Linked DNA regions of Saccharomyces cerevisiae S288C. The gene in region 3 interacts genetically with the main gene of each other region. Each region holds a gene or a part of one and is shown on either strand. Other genes may lie near its edges.

Region 1 (3,277 bases), on a different chromosome or scaffold from region 3:
TATCCGGATTAGCCAAATTAATAAAGTATTGGCCATGCGGTAAGACGTCCGTCAATGGGTTATAATTGTAAGTTGCACAGTTTTTCTTAAATTTATCTATTTCCTCCTGTGTATACTGCGGAGAAACCCACTTTCTTGGAGATTTTAAAAACATGGCAAACGAATTACAGCCAGTGTTAAATGCATTAGTTACACTATTAGAAATTCCACCGGCACCTGACATGTGCGCACCAAATTTGTATTTCGAGACAGCAGATCTAACAAAGCTAGGTGTCGAAGGCATTACGATGGTTCCGATATGCCAAAAGCTTATTAATGTTGCGTTTTGTGTTTCTTATTCGGAGTTTGTCATCTTATATTTACAATGATTTCCAACATGTAAAGAAATGAAGAAAAAGAAACCAGGTAAGAATGAAAAATTCCACGTTCAAGTTCCCAGAAAAACTGGCAAAAAAAGAGAAGTATTAGATGAAAAAAGTTCGTGTATACAAATATCTATGTTACATATATGCCAAGGTGAAGGACCAAAAGAAGAAAGTGGAAAAAGAACCCCCTCATCTTCTTCCCTTTGTGACTTTATTCTTATTTTTGTTCAATTTTTTATTTTCTTGTGCTCTTTTCGCCGCAGCAGCCAGCTGTTCCTTTGTCTTAGGCACCACTTGGAAGAACCCATCTAACCTACCCTGAATGCCAGATTTCAAGCCTTTTTTCAATCTTGATATACCAGATTTAACTCTTTCTTCACTGAATTTCTTATCATCACATAAATACTCGATAAGTTCCTTCTCCTTTGGTGGCGACCATTTCAAGTTTATTTCGTTACCATCTATAACTTCAGGGTCAAGAAACAGCATTCTTGCTTGTTTGTAAGGCCAGTCTTCTGGGATTTTCCATTTAGTGTTGTTTGACTCCCCAGATTCAATAAACTCCACGATTTTTTCGATGGATCCATGCGTTTTTATCAATTTTAAGGCTGTCACTGGACCAACACCTCTGATGCTTTCACAGTAGTCACAACCAAGCATTATGCAAAGATCAACAAACTGCTCTATTGTCAAGTCGAGTCCTCTCAAAACTAATTCAGTATCTATTTCGTGAATCGGTTCCTTCTTGGCCTCTGAAAAAGTCAAATGTCTCAACAAGAAGGGTGTTCTATAACAGAGTGTGTCCATATCTTCACTTGCTGCGGCATACACCTTTCCCTTCTTTGCCAACTCAGCACATTGAGCCTCAGCTTCCGTTGGCGCTATTATATATGGGATTCCCATTAGTCCTAGTAATTTTTGGGCTTCTTCATTATGCTCTTTTGAGACCTTCACCAATCTTCTTTCTTGCTTCATCTTTTCCAATTCTGTTGTTGCCTCTGCCAGTTTTTTTTCTGTTTCCACCCTTCTTGAAGACCGCTTTGTCAACTCATGAGATTTCAAATCTGGAGGTTTGCCGTCGAAGACATAACAAGGCTTGATACCGTTATCAATCATTCTCAGTGTCCTATAAAACATACCCATCAAGTGTGACGTTGTTTCACCGGCTTCATTGGTCAACTGCCCACCGTCTTGCTGTCTTACAGCAATTAAAAACTGATATAGAGACATAGAGGCATCGATGGCAACCTTTCTGCCAAAAAAGCTCTTGATATCGCTTTTCCTGATAGCAGAGGGAACATGTTCCGATATAATTGCATTCAAACCTTTAATACCCATATTTTTTCTTCCGGTGTCCGTTTCCTATTTCTTTCCAATGTATGCTGTCAACGCTTTTCATCGATGTATATAAGGAAGAATACCTCATTATAATACATCAAAACCTTCATTTGCGCGATGTTACGCGTCGCGTTTCCTATAAAAAATACATAAGCTAGTGAATAAAAGCTTTAAACGCGTTAGGGGGATCTGCAATTAAAGTAAATAAATGAAATAAATGAAATAGATGAAAAACTGGTTACACTAATTATAACGTTAATAAAACTAGTTGATAATCAAAATATTGCCATAGCTAAGCCAATAGTACAGCGTTGGCTTTCTATCATAACTTACCAGCCGGGTGCCCAATCGGGTATCTGTCACCGAAAGTCACTGTTAACGAGGTGTGATTCAGCCGGGTACTAGTCTAGCATTTTTTTTCGCCTGTTTTTTTCGTGAAAAACGAAAAGTGGCAAGCAAACTTATATCACTTTCTACTTCTTTCCCTGTTCTTTTTGTTTATTGGCAATGGCCACTACCACATCCCCATTAACGAAAGTCACCAAAGTGTGTCATTTAATACTACGGTTAGTGACAGCATTTTGTTTAGATCTCAACTAGAGAGGATTATCAACTGCTAAGCCCTTTACACGTTATCTGTGATCCTGCTGCACTAGGAAACGTTTCAAATCACCATATTTGCAATTTCACAAGGATGGACAAATTAGTCGTGAATTATTATGAATACAAGCACCCTATAATTAATAAAGACCTGGCCATTGGAGCCCATGGAGGCAAAAAATTTCCCACCTTGGGTGCTTGGTATGATGTAATTAATGAGTACGAATTTCAGACGCGTTGCCCTATTATTTTAAAGAATTCGCATAGGAACAAACATTTTACATTTGCCTGTCATTTGAAAAACTGTCCATTTAAAGTCTTGCTAAGCTATGCTGGCAATGCTGCATCCTCAGAAACCTCATCTCCTTCTGCAAATAATAATACCAACCCTCCGGGTACTCCTGATCATATTCATCATCATAGCAACAACATGAACAACGAGGACAATGATAATAACAATGGCAGTAATAATAAGGTTAGCAATGACAGTAAACTTGACTTCGTTACTGATGATCTTGAATACCATCTGGCGAACACTCATCCGGACGACACCAATGACAAAGTGGAGTCGAGAAGCAATGAGGTGAATGGGAACAATGACGATGATGCTGATGCCAACAACATTTTTAAACAGCAAGGTGTTACTATCAAGAACGACACTGAAGATGATTCGATAAATAAGGCCTCTATTGACCGGGGATTGGACGACGAGAGCGGTCCTACTCATGGTAATGACAGCGGTAACCACCGTCACAACGAGGAGGATGACGTCCATACCCAAATGACGAAAAACTATTCTGACGTAGTGAACGATGAAGACATCAACGTTGCCATTGCCAATGCCGTCGCAAATGTAGATTCTCAATCAAACAATAAGCACGATGGAAAAGACGATGATGCCACTAACAACAATGATGGCCAAGATAATAATACTAATAACGATCACAACAATAACAGCAATATCAATAACAACA
Region 2 (4,492 bases), on a different chromosome or scaffold from region 3:
GAGTAGGGTAGAGTTTTCATCCTCGTTTGGATGGATTAGTTCTTTTAAGTTCATTTTATTTCGGATGTTGATTAAATCAGTACCAATTTTAATACGTTCAGGATTTTCAATACACTCCTCGCTCATAGCAGTGATATTCAGCTTTTTATTGTTCTTTGTGACCAATTGTGATCTACAAATTTCTAGCTTTTATCAAAACCACAGTACTTAAGAAGCTAAATCTTTTATAAACGCCTTATCATTCACGCTTTATTTGTAATTCCCATCAGCCATTTTTTTTCAAGTTTTCGCATATTTTGCATTTTTCGCTGTTTTGAAATATGCACTATGAGGAAATAAAGGCAACTATTAGAAGGAATTTAGGATTGTGCTGCATTTGCTTAATGCAAGGTTGCAGAATTTATTGATATATAAAGTAGTAGTATATTTCCCCGCACTACCATGCTATATTTATTATACATACGTGTTCCTGTAACGATGCACGCAATTTCATATCAGTGTTATTTGTTCTTTGAAAAGCCTGAGTGCAAATGCTCCCATTTTCTCACGACTATGCTCGGATCAGCGTTGAACCATACGTTTTTCAAGACACCCTCTTGTGACAACTGATAGACCAAATCTTTGTATCGTCTTTCTGATACATTTTCACTATGCAACTCAAATATTTGTTTGTTTTCATTCTTGACATTGGCGTCACTTTTAGCGATTTCAAAAACGAAGGGATTGATCTCCGCTTTAATTTGTTGAGTTGTGGCGCTCAGCAGATCAATCTCGGCATTTTCGTTCAGAGTTTCATCATTATAAATTCCTTTGAATTGGTTCAAAATATCAGAAATTTTCTTCGAATTTCTCGTCCTTCTTGCCGACTGAAGATGGTCATACTTCGGTATTCTTGACGCCAAAAAATTTAATGTAGATTCTGTCATTTTTTTGAACCTGTTAACAAGGTATTCGTTATCAAGCCTATGGTTTGCTTCTCTAACATAGGAATACCGAGCTTCCAATTGTTCTTGGATGTGTTGGTAAATATTCAATTCAAACGGTAATAACGGTTGTCTATTGGGGTCATTTAAATGCAATTTATAATCTATCACGTAATCAAATTTTAGTTTCATTTCATCATCCAGATTTTGATCCTGGAAAGTATTAACTTTTTCTGGGGTCATTGTGGTAGAATCTATTTCTTGTCTAACCATGGAACGATTGAGCGTTGCTTGACCAATAACATCATTTATGGAGAGTAGATCAGTTAATTGCGATATATCTTTAACGCTTGAACCAAGAGTTGATGTTAGGACCGGTAGTCTGTTCTTGGATGAAATCAAATCAGCCTCAGTATCAACGCACCAAAACTGCAAGTGCATCAAGCACTTCCTAATATCCGCATTATTTTGTTTTACAACATCGCGAAGCCAGTCGTCACAAACTTCGATTTCAAGGGACTTTAAATATTTTGTTAGAAACGCATAGACTGTGGATGTACTAATTTTCTTAGTATGAAACAAAGAGTTTTGTTCACTTGCCAAGGCAATAAGTTCACTAGGAACTAGTGACAAATCCTTACAAGTCAATACGAGGGGCCTTCGTGAAAATTCACAAAGCTTGCTGATCATTGCCCAATATCCCCTATCATGTTCTTTAAATAAAACATCAACATCATTAAATAAAACAAGCCCGTAGTCACTTTTCCTTTTTGAGGAATCTTTGACATAGTGTGTGGTGGTAAAATCTAGTAGGATATCAAGCAAATCTTTTTTGCTCCTGTTCATGTTTGAATTAACTTCATATATCTGGTAAGAATTATCGTCGCCAGCAATCTCTCTCATGATTGTCTGTATCAGCGTTTTCTTGCCTATTGAATTTCCGTGTAATATCATTAGTGGAACAAATTCGCTCAAGCTGCTATTTGCTTCGCCATTTCTGTAGAAATCTGGACGCAAGTTTTCGTCTTCTTCGAGATCAGGTACAATGAAGTTGGCAAGCTCATCACCAGATCCCTGTTGTTTATTGGGATTTATTCTGTTCAATAGACGGTTCCTCAAGGTAGGCTTTTCTAGCGTATGAAAGGATGTTTCAATCCAATTTTTGATTCGAAGTTTCAATTTGGGTTCAATTAATACTTGTTTTAAAGTGACAGGCTTGAATAGCTGCGGCCATGTGAGAGTTGTATTTCTTTTAATATTTGTGCCAAGTAATACCGGTGCTTGATAGCGAACAGGAATACAAGATGCTGAATTCTTGTCTTTCAACGATTCATAGTCACTAGGAAGAAAATTATGATTTAATGGCGGTATTGTGCGGAAAGGAAGCGGGATATCAACACTCCGATCTGACAGCTCTTTGTCACCTACTGGGAAAATCGATTGATGTAATGGTAATGGTGGCTCTATTTCATTTAGTTTAGAGATGCTATTTAATCTTTTGAACGTGTCGGTTGTCTCATGTTTAAGGAAGTTTTTAATCTTTGATGCTCTTTCATTAAGAAGCGATGATTTGATTCTCGATGTGGAAATTATAGAAATATCATCTTCATGCTCCTGCGAAAGTGCAATTTTGCTACAATTAGTCTCACTTTTGGGACTCTTATCACTGATTACAATAAGATCATCATCGTCGTCATCGCATTTTTCTTTTGTGCGTTTCGTCATCAAAAACTCCTTTGCAGATTTGTGATTAGTAGAAACAGCTTCAATTGGCTTCACAACAGAGTGGTTTAAAAATATTACTGAAGAATCGTCATGTTTGGCTGTTCTGGCGTCAAAAGTGCCTGATTCAGTATCATTTTCGTCATCGATGGTAATCTGTAGAGCATCTTGTCTTCTCACTTTTCTCTTATTTCCTGTCAATATATCAGATAAAGACACGTGCCTTTTCATTGGAAAACCTTCTCTGATTCAAAAAGTTTAATGCTATGGTACCATACGATTTAGTGCAGCGAAGGTGGTCAGTGAAGACGTTAAATACATGAAGCAAATAGCCGGATAATAATACTAAACTAATTTATCACCGCTAACGTTACGCGTTTGGCGTCCTAAAAAAAAGAAGGAAAAAAAAACCTATTTATTCACTCTATTTCGCCATAAAACGACATATAAATATTATACAGATGATGAAAGCCCACAAATTATGTTTAGTAGCGTTCTTTTAATCTAGATGCAACGGTACGTAAGTTCCCATAAACTTTACCTGGAGGGGAACCCAAAATTAAACTAACCACAGATTCTCTTGCCATTCTGATGTGGGTGAACCCGCCCAAAATGTGGATTTTAGAGTCAGCTAAGACAATTCTTGTTCTTGTAGCGTTTTCAATCGCAAATTTCGTTTTACCGTCTTTACCGGCAATACGACCGATGGCTCTCGACAAATGGTCACCTGTTAGAGTCTTGACATCTTTGACTTCAAAAGTCTCAATATATAAATCATCTAGCCTCAATAGTGCGATAGAATCGTCAAGATCAAACCCTAAGGTAAAGGCTTTGATAAAATCGGCCCCTTTTTGCAACGCACCAGGGTCTGTGGTAAATTTAGGATTCGTTCTTAGTTCTACGGATTTGGTCTTTAAATTCATTCTGACTTGCAGCTTCAAGTGCTCGACCAAAGGAGGATAAATTTTTGTCCAACTGTTCCTCAAGGGTGTCATTCTGTGTGGTGGAACCATGATCTTTCTCGATTCAAATTTTATTTTGTTACCCTGTGTTTTGCTAGCTGAAGTGAAGCGAGGTTTCCCCTGGTCATCAACCACTACGGTCTTAGATTCGTGCGTTTTCCGGCTACCTTCTTCGCCCTCTACCTCTTCTTTTGCTGTGTTATTGTCGGAATCATCTAACAGAACGTCGTCATCATCGTCCTCATCGATGCTTTCGGTATTATTTATTCCTATAATTCTACTACTGCCCCCATCTTGTCCACTTACAGGTGTCACAGTAGCCTTTTTCAAAGCAGTAGGCGCAACCATAATGTAGTTTATTTTCACTTCAAGTCTTTTTCTTAACTAAACAGAAGAATATTGAAAACTGCCTATTATTGATGCAATATGTATCTTTCATTGTGATGAGCATCGGTATGATAATAAGGAAAGAAGAAAAATTTTTTCCCGCTCGCACTTTCCGTAAGAGGTGATAAAAAACAGACCTAATACTGTAGTAATCTTAACTGCATTTAGCCCTACATTTATTATTTATGACCTTACTCTTCATATGTAGGTTAAAAAATTCGTATAAAGACACATTTGACTTTTTGTCACTTTTTTTTACTTCTCGTTATTGGTTCTAGCTGATCCTTGACTTACTATGGAGGGATGCATATTAAAGTTGACAGTAGATTTGCGTCAAGAAGTATTAAAACAAAAGGCACATACAGATTATCAGGTGGTGGGAGGTTTATAAAATTCATGCTAATCACACGTTTACGGGTCCCTACAATAAAGCGGCCACTGCTTCCAATTACAAGTCATCTCGTAAGACACTGTATTCGAACTTACGTCGCAACTAAT
Region 3 (4,688 bases):
AATACGCTATAAACAAAAAATCCGAATTAACGAATAGTTTTGATTTAGCTTGCGTATTATCTATAGCGGCAATACTTAAAAGAGAAGCGCCAATTTACAACGGCACGTTATTGATGAAGAACAGCTTTCTCGAGGAAACGTTCAATTTAGAAAGCTTCACGGCTGACCCTGAAACTGTAACATCCACCACGAATAACACGTGGAAGAGGTGTGGTGTCACTTTGCTTCCAATACTTACAACGCATGTAAAGATATGTCCCGTGAGCAAACAACGGGTAATAGACATAAAACGAGATGATTTGAATGATTATGGTTGGTTTACAAGGGGTCTATTAGAAAGATTTAATGAAATAAGCGTATATTGTGGAACAACGCTGGAAGTTATGTAAGGATACAAGAGACAAAGAATTACTTGCAGATATAAAAAGTAGTCATAAATATCAGTTTAGTTTACTATAATATATAGTAGTAATCACAGTATACACGTAAACGTATTCCTTTTAGCGTGAATTCAGGCTGCGCATTGAAAAAAACTTCCGTGTTGAAGAAATGACCTGATGTGTTGTATGTTCGGAATTGATAGAATCTTGCACCCAACGTGACAATTTTTTCCGGAAATTGGGCCTATTATATCGCACATCGAGCAAGTAAATGTTTGCGTAATCATTTGCATGCCGTATAGCACGTCCAACACTTTGGTTGACAGCTTTCATACAAATATTCTCCATAAACTCCTTTGTTGCTCGTGAAGCTTCCTCTTCCGTTCCGCCTGACTTCATTATTTTAGCGGCCAAATGCTTCCTTTTAACTATTAGTTCTCCACTAAAAATATTTGGGAACGGCAGGCCCACCATCACCACAGCCCTACATAAATCATCTTGAAAATTTATTCCCTCTGATAATTTTCCCCCAACAATAGCCAGCAAAAGAGACCCCCTTCCCTCTGCTACCGAATCAGAATATCCAGATAGAATATCATCGCCGTCTTTTGCTTCATAGAATATTTTCCTCACGTTATTTAATGTAGCAAACCTGTCATTCTGTTTCCAGCACTGAATTACATGCGCCAAATACTGATAGCTTGGAAAAAAAGCTACAATACCACCCTTTTTAGGAACTGCTTTGCTCAGATCAACAAAAAATTGAAAAAGATGATTATTTACAAGGGAGGGAGACATTCTTTTTTCGAATGTGAACTCAAGCTCAGGCTGGTTTGTGATATAAGTTTGCAAATTCTCTTTCGGTATAACATGATTGCACGACAAGGTCGTAATGTCTTCAGAAGGAACTTCAGGTAGCAAATTCGACAAAAACTCTGACATGGGTTCCATTGTCCCACCTGCAAGGACTACACATTTTGCTTGATTTAGTATTGACTCAAAAGGTTTACTTGGTTCTAGAAGCATGTACTTTATTGAATAATTTTTCTCAAAAAAAAATTGTCCTTCTGACGTCAAATTTGTCAAACAATATAGGAATTGAGAAACCTTGAAAAGTAATGGCTGAGAAGAAACTGATTTTTTATGCGTTTCTTTTATTGGATTTTCATTTTTTGACGATTCTTCCTCTTTTAGTGCCTGGTTATACGTGTCAATTTTGTAAGCAATTTTGGAGACTTTTATATATCTCAATAGTTTATGAATGTTTAGGGTATCGATGTTACTTCCTGTGAACATATCGTTAGGATCTATTTCTTGTCCTATCTTCTTGAAATTTTTAACTATAAATTGAATCAGAGTCATCAAAAGTGAATTGAGCTTTAATAGATTTACTCTGTTACCGGGATTGAGCCTGGACTTAAATTTGTTGAAATAAGTTACTATCCCCTTATGGCAATTCTTTAAGTCCTCCAACGAGATCTGAGAGGAATATATAGAATTTATTGTTTCTATCAAATTATGAGCCTCATCAATAATTACTATAGAATTTTCAAGGTTTATTTGAAGACTTGAACGGGTGGACTCAGAAAGTAAGTATTGATATGGCAAAGTCACTACCTCCGCAATAGGAAGTGCCTCCCTCGAGGCGTAATAGGGACAAATTCCCAAAGATTTTCCCAGGGGAACTAAATCTTCAATATCTTGAATTTCTGAAAAAATCATATCTCTGAGAGCTAACGTATCAGGACAATGACGCCATTCGTTTGTATTTTGATAAAAGATACATCCCTCTTTACTATGTCTAAGGTCCGCACATGCGTCATTAATAGCTTCCAATGTTTTCCACTTCATCACTTTTGGATTAATACAAAGCTGCTTTTTCGAAGCAAGTGGTAAGTACTTCACCTTTTCATCTGGGACCTTATCCCTAAAGGATGATGGGAACGAGGGTAATCTTAACTGAGAAGTAAATTGACCTAATTGTGAATAAGTTCTGGATGCATAATATATTTTCACTGGATTTTGATTTGTAACGTCAAAGCGATCGCCATTGTTTGGATCTCTCGAAACCTTCCCATCAATTTTGTCTAAAAGTGTTATTATTTGTGAATTTAGTTCACTCAATTTGTAATCTTTATCAGATATTCTTCCTCCTCTTGTGCTTTTGGAGGTATCATTGTTTTCAGAATCTGATTCGTACGGGCGCGGAATAAAATCTTGTTCTTCAAGTGATACATCAAGGTGCCTAGCGCCTTTGCGTTTCTTTCTTAATGGATCAACTGATTTATATCTTCCATGTTCTTTATCTAAATCACACATAGTTTTCAACTGCTTACAACTGGTCGTGTTAATTTCGTTTAAATGCTTCTCATAATCATTTAGCAAATCCACCTTTTCTTGTAAAACAGACTTTCGATAAGTGTCAATAACCCAGTCTGGCTCGTCATCGCTTAGGTTTTCACTATCATCTTCATTCGTTTTGATGTTAGTTTCCATGCGGGTGAAAATATCTGCTTTATTCATTCTCAACCAAGTCATCGTGGCACAGATTAAGGACAGCGTCTTGCCTGTCCCAGTGGGGCTTTCCAGGATAGCTATTTTCTTCCCTTCGGATAGCACTCTGTATACAGTTTCCATTAACTGTACCTGAATATCATAGGGCTTATAAGGATGATAGAAAGTCTCCGAATATTCCTTTTTGTCCATTTTTTGGACTAGTGTGACTGTTTTTAGCCTGGTTTTCTACTCTTTTGGGTTTTAAGGAAACAAACTGAAGTTGCAGTAGTGCCCTCAACTTAGCATGTGCTGATTACACTAATGATGAATTTAAATATGTCAGTGATAATGTCATCAACTGTCAGGTAACAAATGAGCCTCTACCTCAACTCTGTGGTTACGATTAAAATTGGATTTTCAATAAATAGCCTGAGTTTTAACCTTTTCAACAATTGCGACTTCTCTTCCGGACATTAACTAATGCACTATATCTATTGTATATTTGGACGCGTTTGAACTTTTCATTCATGCTGCGGAAGGATAGAAAAATGAAATTTCGCCTGAAAAATAGTTTTAAAAGAATCCGATGGCAAATTGAAAAGAAAGTTGCTACTTATTATCCGGTCTAAGAAGTCAGGCAGGCAAGAGATTAATAGCGATGAAGCAAAGAATTAGTGCCCTAGATTTACTGCTGTTGGCTAGAGAGCTGAAACAGGATTTGGAAGGCTACCGATTGAGTAATATATATAACATTGCCGATTCCTCAAAACAATTTTTGCTGAAATTTAATAAACCAGATTCTAAACTCAATGTTGTTGTCGATTGTGGCTTAAGAATTTACTTAACTGAATTTAGTAGGCCAATACCTCCAACTCCTTCCGGCTTTGTTGTCAAACTAAGGAAGCATCTTAAAGCTAAACGGTTAACAGCTTTAAAGCAAGTAGACCAGGATAGAATTCTTGTTCTACAATTTGCTGATGGCCACTTCTATTTAGTTTTGGAATTTTTCAGTGCAGGGAATGTCATTCTTCTAGATGAGAACAGAAGAATTATGGCTTTGCAAAGAGTCGTTCTAGAGCATGAAAATAAGGTCGGACAAATTTATGAAATGTTTGACGAATCACTTTTTACCACAAATAACGAGTCTGCTGATGAATCCATAGAAAAAAACAGAAAGGCAGAATACACCTCTGAACTAGTCAACGAGTGGATAAAAGCAGTTCAAGCCAAGTATGAATCAGACATTACTGTTATTAAGCAACTTAACATTCAAGGGAAGGAGGGCGCTAAAAAAAAAAAAGTGAAAGTACCTTCCATCCATAAACTGCTGCTTTCGAAAGTCCCTCATTTGTCTTCAGATTTATTATCAAAGAACCTTAAGGTATTCAATATCGACCCTTCAGAGTCTTGTTTAAATCTTTTGGAGGAAACAGACTCACTCGCCGAATTGCTAAACAGTACTCAGTTAGAATATAATCAACTTTTAACTACCACCGATAGAAAGGGTTACATTTTGGCCAAAAGAAATGAAAATTATATCTCTGAAAAAGATACTGCCGATTTGGAATTTATTTATGATACATTCCATCCCTTTAAGCCATATATAAATGGGGGAGACACTGACTCTTCTTGTATCATTGAAGTTGAAGGTCCTTACAATAGGACGCTAGACAAATTTTTCTCAACAATAGAATCCTCTAAGTATGCTCTACGTATACAAAATCAGGAATCGCAAGCGCAAAAGAAAATCGATGATGCTCGTGCCGAAAATGATAGAAAAATACAAGCTTTATTAGACGTCCAAGAACTAAA
Region 4 (3,611 bases), on a different chromosome or scaffold from region 3:
ATTTAACATATACTAACCATTGGCCTCTGCTCAAAAATAGAATAATCAGTATTATGATCACTCAATATGCTTGCAAGTTCGTTCTAAAATATCTATTATTGTTTTTGAATTTCCAATTTATCGATCATGTTTTCATTTGGACAGGGGGAGAATGCAGTTCTGGTAGTAAAACGACATCAGCTGAAAAGTGCCGTCTAGAAAATGGGAAATGGGATGGTGGGTTTGACATTAGTGGACACTTCTGCTTTCTTGTGAGTATAAGCATGATTCTTTGGATGGAACTTCACTTATTCAGTAGATTTGTTCAAGCTGAAGATATGTTTTGGGTTGTGAATAAGTGGGTACGAGCTTGCCTTGCCATTGTTTGCGCTGTCCTAGTAATTTGGATATGTATTCTCTGGGTTACCGCTATTTATTATCATACTATCTTGGAAAAAGTGTTAGGTTGCCTTATGGGTTTCATATGCCCTGTTTTCATATACCACATTCTACCCAAAATTGGGATACTACACAATTACTTATATCTATGATAAACAGAGAAAATTAGCTCTATCCTCTTTCTATAAAGTATATTTTTGTTAACATTCACTTGAATATTGTCGCGAAAGAATGGTTTAATTTTAATTCCAAATCATCCAAAGAACCGAGCAATGCAATTTCCCATTTACTTTTATTATTTTGACTAAAATCATGAATATCGTCCAATATTGAACATGAAACTATTTCATTTTGTTTTACAAACAACTCGACTTTAATATCCTTCACAAAAAACGAAACCATTGAAGATTCTAAATCTAAATCTAAGTCGTGGATTATCTTCTTAGCTTCTAAGTCCTTAAAAATCTGTCGTCTTTTCTGTACTTCCACAAGTTGCAGGAAGACTCTTTTAGCAAATAAATAGGCGTCATCATGAGATATCACTAGTCCCCCATTGGTGTCATCAAATATACCTTGGACATCAATGAAACTCGGGATTGTATGCTTGAACAGGAACCAACTATTCGATTTGATCCTCTTTTTCAACAATACATAGTGAGGTTTTTCAAATTGGGATGTCCGTTCGCTGAAGACTTCCAGTCGTATTCCCAGCATTTCTCTATCAACAAATATTTCACCGCTAGCATCTTTTATCTTAAGGTCAATAGGGTCCACAAGAGGGAAAAATGTTATACCAAACATTCTATAAACATTTTCCAGGACAATATAATCTTCCAACTCACTTCTATCACTTGTACTAATATCGTCTATTTTTAGTTTTCGCTTTCTTTTTGAAGGTGACGTTAGAATGTCTGTATCCAATAAATCTGCCACCCCAGGATCAAACATTTGATGCTGAACCATTGGCTGGGTCTTTAAAACCCATTCTTGTTCTGGTAAAATTTCCTCATTCTCCAGCTTAGCTCTTTTCTTTGGTTCATACGGTATTGGCGTTGCTGGTATATCCGCTTGCGCCCTTGATATGTCCTTGTCATCTGTCTCTTCCAATTCTGGATGCTCATTAAATAAAAAATTATTCAACTGTGGGAATTGATCGAATAGATCTTCAAATTCTTGTACTATAGGATTAGCGCTCTCCTCATTTTTTCTTTTATCTTTTATCTTCGCTTTGAGCTTCTCACGACTTTCTTCTAATGAATTGACTGTGAAGATTCTACTATGTTAGTGTTCAACTTAATCATTTTTTTAAAAGAAAGAAAATTGTTACAGCCTCAAAATCACATACTTTCACTGAGTAAAGATTCAATGTCCTGCTGTAAATCATCGATTCTACTCATTGCCAGGAGCGTTACTGATAGTTTGAAAGAATTGCTCAAGTAAAGAAATCACATTTTCCCCTCATTATCCATATGGCTTTTGTTTGTTTTTTCTTCAGTTTTGAAATATGCGCGTTTTCTTACCATCATTATAAACTTAGGGAAGATCTATCATAGAATTGGTCGGCCATTACTGGCGATTAGTAAAACAATACATAAAGTTTGCATATTCAATGCGATAAAAATTTAAGACGGCCCAGGTATCGAATCCATGATATAGTGGTTCTTTTATGTATTAGGCTACTATTTATTTAATAACTTCGCATCTATCAAAAGAAAAGACTGACTGTTCACACAATCATATCAATTTGATAACTGCTAATTACTTCCAGCTTAGGTCCCGCCTCTTTACTTTTCCTTTCAATCGCCATCAAAGAGGCAACATAAGAAACCTTTGAAACTGGGACAGCGTATCCTAATAATGCAGATCCTGGCATCCTATATATACTGGAAGCAATTATTTCGCTTAACTTTGTTCTTAAGCCAATCCTTCTGGCCTCACTGATATATTTCTTTTTATAAACTAAAAGATAGTGAGGATAATAAAAAATTTTTTCCAAGAAAGTGGAGTTTTCTTTACCCAATTCAACGTTTATAGGATTTCCGTGCTGTCCACACATCGGACCTGGCCTCAAAATAACTAGCTCCTTTAGCTTATTTGGCAAAGCTTCATCCAAGTCATTTTCTAATTTAGCTTTTATTCTAAAATACTCGAAAGTTTTACTAAGAAAATCATTATTAAAGGCAGTTGTAACCACCAACCTTTTGTTAGTTGTATTCGTGAATTCTTGTGCTAAATTAAAAGGTAAGTAATAGTCAGCAAAGGAACTTGGTACCTGAGTTCTCCGCACTCTAGCTGAGGTGGAGCCCAAAGAGCACACCATAGTGCTAATATCACACAGACTAGGCAAACTTCTACCGGGAACGTAATTTTTGTTGTCAATGTCAAACTTTTCCAGCTTTTGTGTTCCTGAGAATATCCGTGGAAGCAATTTTGGCCAAGTTTCAGATCTGGGGATGATCAATTGCGTTACAGTAAAATTACAAATGATCTCAATACCTTTTTCCTTTCCGCATGCATAATGTAGTGTGTAACTGAACTGTTTCTGATTATAAACAAAAGAATAACCATCTTTTCCCCTCTCTTCAGGCGTATTTTTAATAAATCCTTCTTCAAAATTATCATAACAAAAAGTATTAGGACTAGACGGTACTTTTTCAGTGTCTTTTTCTTTCCTGCTTCTCAAGTAATATCTGCCACCTTGCCAAGTAACTGATCTCATATTTATATAATCAATGGTCTTCATAAATGATTTCTCCTCATTGATGCACCTTCTATTAACACAAAAGACATGTTTATTGAGAACGACATTTCCCTTTATTTCACTTAAGCTATCAAGCTTGCCTTGTAGGTCCGAAACATTTTTAATATATAAATTTATGTCCAACAGGTTCTCTAAAATACCTTTTCCTACTAAACTAGATGATCCAAACAATAAAACGTAATCTGTAAACGTGTTGACACTATAACTCATTTCTGATCAACCTTTCTAGTTTGGAATATTCTTCAAAGGGTCTATATGTATAAAAAGCTGTCATTTATATTAAAAAGAATTTATAGCGTTTACTGCGGATCAAAATTAAATACGTCAATTTTTCTTAAAATTTCTTTTAATCTAAATGACACAAAAAATGTCACCCATCATTATATGTATTGAAAACCAAAAAAAAAAAAGGAAAATTATACTTTCAATGAAAGACACAAAAATGAAGAAGTTCAAGGATATAAAAGTTAGT

The links.
Region 1: mutations in CHL1 (region 3) and RAD27 impair growth when combined (synthetic growth defect), as found in Saccharomyces cerevisiae (8 studies listed by BioGRID, with this or other methods).
Region 2: mutations in CHL1 (region 3) and ELG1 together harm fitness more than expected from each alone (negative genetic interaction), as found in Saccharomyces cerevisiae (10 studies listed by BioGRID, with this or other methods).
Region 4: mutations in CHL1 (region 3) and MCM21 together harm fitness more than expected from each alone (negative genetic interaction), as found in Saccharomyces cerevisiae (6 studies listed by BioGRID, with this or other methods).

The regions. Positions count from the first base shown.
Region 1 is NC_001143.9:224,173-227,449, forward strand, and holds RAD27 (multifunctional nuclease RAD27), read right to left. Parts: upstream 1,704-3,277; coding exon 555-1,703; downstream 1-554. Other genes in the region: DNA-(apurinic or apyrimidinic site) lyase APN1, read right to left, coding at 1-283; DNA-binding protein ABF1, read left to right, coding at 2,398-3,277. UniProt on the Saccharomyces cerevisiae protein: Structure-specific nuclease with 5'-flap endonuclease and 5'-3' exonuclease activities involved in DNA replication and repair.
Region 2 is NC_001147.6:602,217-606,708, forward strand, and holds ELG1 (Elg1p), read right to left. Parts: upstream 2,877-4,492; coding exon 501-2,876; downstream 1-500. Other genes in the region: THI80 (thiamine diphosphokinase), read right to left, coding at 1-126; PNO1 (Pno1p), read right to left, coding at 3,131-3,955; MDM32 (Mdm32p), read left to right, coding at 4,391-4,492.
Region 3 is NC_001148.4:537,783-542,470, reverse strand, and holds CHL1 (DNA helicase), read right to left. Parts: upstream 3,087-4,688; coding exon 501-3,086; downstream 1-500. Other genes in the region: transcription factor TFIIIC subunit TFC8, read left to right, coding at 1-389; RQC2 (Rqc2p), read left to right, coding at 3,535-4,688.
Region 4 is NC_001136.10:1,101,922-1,105,532, reverse strand, and holds MCM21 (Mcm21p), read right to left. Parts: upstream 1,776-3,611; coding exon 1,724-1,775; intron 1,641-1,723; coding exon 586-1,640; downstream 1-585. Other genes in the region: YFT2 (Yft2p), read left to right, coding at 1-530; HIM1 (Him1p), read right to left, coding at 2,105-3,349. UniProt on the Saccharomyces cerevisiae protein: Component of the kinetochore, a multiprotein complex that assembles on centromeric DNA and attaches chromosomes to spindle microtubules, mediating chromosome segregation and sister chromatid segregation during meiosis and mitosis.